Linked DNA regions of Ovis aries. The protein of the gene in region 2 purifies or fractionates together with the protein of the main gene of each other region. This does not show direct contact. Links are inferred from orthologs where the notes say so. Each region holds a gene or a part of one and is shown on either strand. Other genes may lie near its edges. The genes, in order: EZH2 and core histone macro-H2A.1.

Region 1 (3,808 bases), on a different chromosome or scaffold from region 2:
CCACAAGCAGCAGGGGCCTGGCCGCAGCCTCACCCGAGGAGCTCGAGGTCTCGTCCTTCTTCTCCTCCTCATCCTTGTCGTTGCTCTCCCCGCCAGTCTCAGCCCCCGCCTCCCGGTCACTGTCCGTGTCCTTCGACTCCAGCACATTGATGGTGGGGGTGCTGGGCCTGCTGCTGTTGTTGGGAAGCCGGCCTCTCCGGCGGCCCCCGGGGCGCTTCGGGGGGGTCTTGATCCGCTCGGCGGTGAGGGCCGCAGCGAACTCCTTCGCTCCCTCCTACAACAGCAAGAGCGGAGACATCAAAGTCAAGTTCTACAGCTCATTCTGGCAGAGGAGGAAGGAAAGGATTGGGTAAGCATGTTAGTCAGACTTATCAGTATCTGCTTTTCACAGGCAGTCACATCTAAAGACAATCATCTTCCTATCTGCTTTCCATGGTTTGAAGATTTGAGAAAGATAAATATGGCTTCTACAAACTCAGGCAAGACAGTTCTGTATTAACTGAGATTAGGAGTTAAAATACAGAATATATTTTAGGAAACACAGTCTATTTAAAAGTGAACTTTAAGAGGAGCCATACACCCAGTGTGCATCTAAAGTCAGCCTTTCCTGTCTCGGGACTTCGTAAGCTAACACTCGTTCATCTATGGTAGCATTGGAAGTATACAAGAAGAATACAAGACATACACGTGCTCCATCCGTCCCTTTTCTGCCCCCTTTCCCCTGTGAGGGATGCACAGCCCCAGGAAGACATGAAAGGCCCTTGAGGGACAGGCAGTGAGGGTCACAGTCTGCGCTGCCAGGCGCAATAACCCCATCTCGGAAAGTATACAACAACGGTAAGAGCACGGATTATAGAGACCACAGACACACTTTAGGTGAGCCAAATAAAATGCTGCCTTGTAAAGAATATTATACAACAGTGCTCAAGAATTCCATTTTTAGTGGCAATAGAAGGGAGAAGTTTGAGAGCAGCCAACAGTTTTATACTTCATTCTACAAAAACCAAATTGCTTAAAAATAGGATACCTTCTGTAGGTGCCATTCAATGAATCTTCTGTCCAAAATCCAACAGGCAATATATACCCACTTAGTTCCTAGGTAGGAGTGGCTTGGTTCAAAGAGGGGAAATGGTAAAAATAAGATAGTACCCATAAAAAGCAACTTTTCTACCTCATATTTTCCTACACCCTTACCTTCTCTCCATCATTACAAAAAAAAAAAAAAAAAAAAACACACCACACACACCCCTCATCTCTGGGAGCTACATATAATGCGCTAAACTACAGCAGGTCTGCACAGAAGGGCGATGGCTCTGAGCAAGGCTCGGACACTTCTGTGCTGCTGGGGTTTGGGCGGGCTCTCTGTGCTTCCCAAGCTCTAAGGTTGGCGGAAGGCACGAGAGTCTCGGATCCTAAAGACCTGCATCCACTGCTGAAGAGACTAACGCTGGTAGAGAATAGCGCAAGGTAACAAAGGACTAGGGTGTGCAGCAGGTACGAGCTCCCAAGAAACGTGGCTGAGAAAAACCTCTGCCTATCGTGTGGCCAGTAACAGTACGGGAACAGCAGCTTACCGCTGACTTCACAGATCTCACGAAAATTCAAAATTCAGACTTCTCCACTCCCTCCAGAACCCCCCGCATGTGCTTACCAAGTGCTGGTAACAGTGGGGGCCACAAGGCTTATTGTCGAGGGCCGTCTCTGTGTTCTTCCGCTTGTAAGTGTTGGGTGTTGCATGAAAAGCTGCAAAATAAACAGAAAACATCCAAACATAAAGTAAACTAGTTACTTTCTCATTCCTCCTGTTCCAAAGGAAAAAGTCAAGGACCCATCATCACACTCCTGCTAACATGTGGCTCACCTTCTGGAGCTTCCTTCAGGCTCACTGCACACTCACCATGTATCCCCTCAGCTCTCCCCCAGAACACCTGAGCTCTGATCATAAACATTTACTTGAGTCTTTAATGTCTCCATAGAAACAACTGATGTATCCTCTACACAGAAATCAGTTTCCTCTTTTCACCAGAAGAATCCTGACATCTACAACTTATTGATTTCTAAAGAAGTCAGCCCCTAGCTTGTCAAATGGGGGAACAGACTGGGACACCGCTTGTTAAAAACCTGGGTTCAAAGACAGTGAGGACAGCCTCGGAATTCTACAAGTCAGTTTCTACGAATCACACACAATTCAAGAACCCAGGGGGAGCCTGCAGTCAGCACTTCTGCAGGGAAAAATAGTAGTCAGATAAAACGGCTTTGGCAAGATATAGTGTTTGAAACTTAAGACGCCCAAATAACGTACCAGAGAGACTCACACTCCAGCACACTGGTGCCCTAACCAAGGATGGAAGCACAGCAGCTGGGCGGGACAGCCTGGGGTGCTGGCTTCCAGAGCACACAGGCAAACACCAGAAACGCCCCACCCAGAATCACACACGATGAGAAGTTATATGGATGAAAACAAGCGACGGATTCATGAAATAAATCACTCCAAAACATATATGTAAAAAGCCATCCTTCTAGCCATAGAACTTAAACGGGAAATGACAGGCTGATGAGGAGAGAAGAGAAAGGACGAACAAAGTTATGCTTTTAAACTGGAAATTCAAGGCTCCGGTCCCAGGTCCCAGAACAAGACTGACACCATATGACTGATTTCACCCTGGACTGGCGCGGGTGAGGGCCCCTAAAATGTCAACATAAAGGCTGAGCACATGGAAGGTAGAGGCCACATAAGGGGAAGGAGTTACTTCAGGCCAGACACAAGGTCATCATGAGCCAAAGGCACATGCGGGCTTTGAGCCTGGATGCCTCCTCCAGTACATGGTAGGTTTAGAGACTGATATTTTGCCGCAGTTCATGGAAGAAGACATATGTGGGTCTGTACACCCTCATGTACACACACTCTGGTCTCGAGAGAGAAGGTGTCACTAAGTCAGGACTAAGTGACAGTAGATGGAGTTGCAAAAGAGCTGGACACGACTTGGCAACTAGACAACAAAAAGTTACAGCAACAGTCATTTTACTTGAGCTACGGGAAGAGAATCTGAAAGGAAATTAAAGAACAAAAGGAGAGTTATCGGACAGTTAGATAGAACCCTTTCTTTAAAATGTGAGTTTTACCTTAGGTAATATAAATTTAATGCGATTCCAATAAACATACCTAGACTCTTTTTAATTTAGACAAACTGATTCTAAAATTTACATAGAAAAACGAAAATGGCCAGGAGACCTTGAGATGGCCAGGAGCCCCCAGACAGACAGCCTCAAGGAACAGGACCCTGGGATCAGAAGCAGAGCCCAGCCTCTGTGCTGACCAGGACCAAGTGCAGCTCCGGGCAGCCCCAGAGGGGCCTGCGGACAATGGTGGGGAAACAGCAGCCCTGGAGATGCGAGGGTGAGCTGGAGCTAAAGTCCTGACAGAGCAAACGCCAAATGGATCAAAGGGAGAAATGTTTAAAAAAAAATGTTTAAAACGTACTAAGGAAAAAGGTGAGACACCCTTTAAAATCTTGGAGTAGGGAGAGCCAAATGATACATTTAACTATTTCTAAATGTTTTGTTTTTTAACTTTGCTACAGGATTTTTACCAAACAAATGGGAAAAAAAAAACACTGCAACTCATCACAAAAAAACTAATTCCCTGACTATATGAAGAGCTTCAGGATATCAAAAAGACCACCAAAGCCAAAAGGATAAAAATAGCTCAGAGAAAATAAAACACAAATCTCTTAATCATGAAGAGAAATGCAAATTACATTGTGCTAGAAACCATTTTACTGATTCAGTCAATAAGATCAAAGTGTTG
Region 2 (3,908 bases):
AAACCTCCTTTAAATGGCTTGGGGTAGCATTAACTTAGAAGATATTAGAAGTGGGTCCCAAAAGTCATGTATGTAGTCCAAGCCTCTCTTTGAAATAAGAGGTGAAAGGGTCTTCCAGAGATCTGCTATCTGGAGGACCAGAAAAAATGGCAGCCTGAGATATACCACTCTCTGACCCTGGCCCACTGGGATAGACCAAGCCAGTGACTTATAGTTGTATGGAGTATAGAATGTCATGTGTGATGGTCTAGACAACTCAAAGTTTAATAAAACGTAAGCCATCCCATCCTCATTCTAAAGGCTCTGCCTCAAACAATTTTCACTTATTTAACCCCCTCCCTCCTTCTAAATACCTTTATCTAAGGATCAGTATTAACAATGGTAAGAGATCAAAACAGTAACAAAGTGGAAAGATTTCCTACTCTCCTCCTAAAAATACAGTAAATAAGATTTTAAAGTCTTGAGGATTTAGGAAAAGAGGAAGAAGGAAAAATAGGTTGAAAAATACATCTCTGTTCATTGGGGAGCCTCTTGTGCAAGACTGAGATGCCATTGCCCAGCTTTGGTTAGTAGTGTACATGTATTAATTCCAGGTGCAGCAAAGAAGGGTCCATTTCAGAGCTAATAACTCCTCTGAAAGCAGACCAGTAATCTAAAGGTGGCCCGGAGTAGGTGGATTCCATCTAATTCACAAATAGAGTCTCCCACTCATTTTAATTTAAAACTGTTCAAAATTTCCGGAGTCCTTGGAGCAGGAAATCTTGGAACAAAGCACTTTCCCCCTCTTTAATGATGAAACCTCAAACCACATAGGTAGAAGAAAGAGAGAAGCTAGCAGGAGCGCCCCTCTAATTGTCTATTCTTATACGCTGTTTATTCGATCATTAAAGTCTTACAAGGACTTCGTGGTAACTGTAATTGTTGAATTTAAGGCTTGTCTCAGCTCTGTGTCTCTTACTTCCACACTCGGGAAAGTATCTTTCCCTAACATCTTGTCTAAAACAACGTTTCAAGCAATCTACTGACAAGATCCTTCCTGAGTGATCTGTGGTCCCTGCCGTAGTGCAGATGGGACGCGCCATCCCGCACACCTGTTGTCAGGCGACATGACCAGCAGCATCCTGCGCACTCACCTCCTCTTTCCACCCCACCCCCCAGCGAAAGACTTCCCTCCTGGCCTTCTCCACTGGAAGAGCCTACAGCCTTCTGGAGTTACCTTGGGAAAAAAACAAACAAACAAACAAACAAAAAACAAACACCACCTCCCAACCACAAAGCAAACAAAAGGCTGTTCATAAAAATGAGAGGGCAGCGGGGGTTCCTGTGGCCCCTCCCCAGCCAGTCCCTGGACAAACCCCTCCCCACCCCGCCTTGGTTCCAGTCTTGCAACTACCCCCCAAACCCCCATCCCACTCTCCCAGCACACCACCCAGACGCCTACACCACCGCCACCTGGGGCTCGAGCCCCACTTATTGTGCCCTGGGCCGGCAACTCGCGAGCGGGCGGGCGCCTCACCAAGTACAACTCCGCGCACAACAGCTCCCGGGCGCCCAGGCCCAGGCCGACCGGCTCCCGCCGCGACGCCTCCCCCGGCCTCGAGTCCAGCCCGCCCGCTGCAGGACGGGTCACCGGGGCACGAGCCGGGGCTGTCTCCTGCTCACAAAAGCGCCCAGGCGCGGGCAGGAGGACGCGGTTCTAGGACAAGTTGGCTTCCGGGTTTGCTTTTTGAACAAAACCAAAGAGGATCCCGCGCGGCCCGGGCAGGGCCTGGGAGGACGCCGTGCGCGCGCGAGGCCCCGGCGTGGGCCGCGTTGAACCCAGCTGCCCGAGTCGGCCGTGCGCCGCCAGGTGCCCGCCAGGCCCGGCCGCTCCCATGCACCCTCGGCCGGAAGAGCGGGGCAGCCGGACCCGGGCGGCGGGGACGCGGCGCGGCGAGGGGGCCCAGGCGGCACTTACGGGGCGGCTCGGCGGCGGCAGCAGCAGCAAGGTGTCCGGCCTGTGCCCTCTCGGCCGCTCGCGCCTTTTCTCTCCGCGCTCCTCGCTGGCCCGCCCGCCCACCTCCTCGCTTCCCGCCTGCGCGACCCGCGCTCGCCCCCTCCGCCCGGCTCCGCTGCCGAGTGAACTGGAACCAGTCGCCGCGGCCCCGGGATTCCCACAATGCACAGCGCGCCGCTCGTCACATCCCATCCCGTCCGCGCGCGTCCGGCCACCCCTCCCGCGCCACCTGGGCGCCCCAGCCTTGACCCCAAGCCAGCAGCCGCGCGCGCGCGGGGGCCCTCCGTGCTGTACCTCCTGGACGTCGGTGGGTTAGTTTCCCGGCCGCACGGCGGCCCCAGCTCTGGTCCTCTGTCACCTGGCCTGGACGCCACACGCAGGGTCCCGCCCGAGCTGGGGACTCGCCCTGAGCTAAGTCCTGTGAAAGGTCGGGACCCTGGGTAGAGGCGCTTCTCCAGCGCGCGTCCCAGCCTGTGCGACTAGAGGAACGCTTATTGAGCGCCTACTGGGGCGGGCGAGGCGGGGGGGGGCTTTTCCTGCCGATCTCTAGAAGCCTTCTCATTAACGCAGGGACGGAGGCAAAATTAATGTTATAAGCAAGGATTTTTCCCTCCCCAACCAATGCAAACCTCCCTCGCACCTCAGAACCTCCCGCTGTCTTTGGACCCAAGCCCTTATCAAGCCTGGTCTTCCCCACGACCAACTGCTGCGCATCCGGCTCCCCTGGAGTTCTTCCCAGTGACCCCTAGAAGTCTGGATTGATTTGCTTTGTTGCATGGAAGCCGTTTACTTAGATTCAGCAAATGTTCACTCTTGGACCCAAGTTGAGATTTACTAAACAGTGATTCTCTTATCATCACACACATTTTTGTTTGCTTTTTAATTATTTTCCCTTTCCCTTTATTTTTAAAAATTAATTTAGTTTTGACTGAGACAAGCAGAAAGAGGGGCCCGCTGCAAAACCCAACTTGTATTTCTAAATTGGTTTTTGGCCTTAAGACCTTAGTGACCCATCCCAAGTTCTAACGTAAGAGCCCTCCGGCTCCTCCTCCTCTCCCCTCCATCTACCGAAGGGGGAGGGGGGAGGCATTAGACCCAGCTGAACCAAATTTAGATAACAATACAGACCCTGCAGAGTTGTTCTGAGACTGCTGAGTTGGTGGTGGAAGATTATGAGTCATTAATGACCACTCCCTTCCCTCAGGTTGCCCCAGTAGCAGTGGTGGTAACCTCCTCCCTTCACCACGATGCTTTACACTCTACTTCAAAAGTCTGCAAAGCAGTGTCCAATACATGCCATTCATTCATTAACTCAGTTAACTACTGTGGTCATACTTTGTGCCATGCACCAATTTGGGTGATGAAGATGAAGCAGTGAATAGAACAGGCAAAAATCCCTGAGCTCCAGAAGTTTGCAGTCTAGCTGGTAAAGAAAGATAATAGGCAAAAGAGGTGATGTATCAGATGGTGTAAATGCAATACAGAAAAATAAAGCTGTAACTGGCAAGAATCTTTTGTATTCTATTACAAGTTAATCACTAAAGGAGTGTTGCCTATAAGCTTAAATTATACAAAATGGCCCATTTCTTAACTCAAGGGAAATATCCTGACCAGGCCCACCTGTGAATGGCTTCTTGGAAGAAATTAACACATCCTCTTTCCAGGCTGACTAGAACCAGGAAATGTTTGACTTTACTCCCTTCCCTTTTAGTATAAAAGAAGCCTGAATTCTAACTCAGGCAAGATGGTTCTCTGGAGGCAAGAGTCCCCCATCTTCTTGGTTTTCTGGCTTTCTAAATAAGTCGCCATTCTTTCTCCCAACAACTCATCTCTCGATTTACTGGCCTGTCATGTAGCAAGCAATATGAGCTTGGGCTTGATGACAAAGCAAGGAAGAGGGATAGAGGTATAA

Evidence for each region.
Region 1: the proteins of core histone macro-H2A.1 (region 2) and EZH2 purify together in Homo sapiens (affinity purification with mass spectrometry; 3 studies listed by BioGRID and IntAct, with this or other methods). This does not show direct contact. The link is inferred for Ovis aries from reciprocal best matches to the Homo sapiens genes MACROH2A1 and EZH2.

What each region holds. Positions count from the first base shown.
Region 1 is NC_056057.1:113,168,779-113,172,586, forward strand, and holds part of EZH2 (histone-lysine N-methyltransferase EZH2), read right to left. Parts: intron 1,744-3,808; coding exon 1,652-1,743; intron 275-1,651; coding exon 34-274; intron 1-33. UniProt on the Homo sapiens protein: Polycomb group (PcG) protein. Catalytic subunit of the PRC2/EED-EZH2 complex, which methylates 'Lys-9' (H3K9me) and 'Lys-27' (H3K27me) of histone H3, leading to transcriptional repression of the affected target gene.
Region 2 is NC_056058.1:44,506,168-44,510,075, forward strand, and holds the start of core histone macro-H2A.1, read right to left. Parts: upstream 2,504-3,908; 5' UTR 2,291-2,503; intron 2,126-2,290; exon of another isoform or gene 1,958-2,125; intron 1,701-1,957; exon of another isoform or gene 1,517-1,700; intron 1-1,516. UniProt on the Homo sapiens protein: Variant histone H2A which replaces conventional H2A in a subset of nucleosomes where it represses transcription. Nucleosomes wrap and compact DNA into chromatin, limiting DNA accessibility to the cellular machineries which require DNA as a template.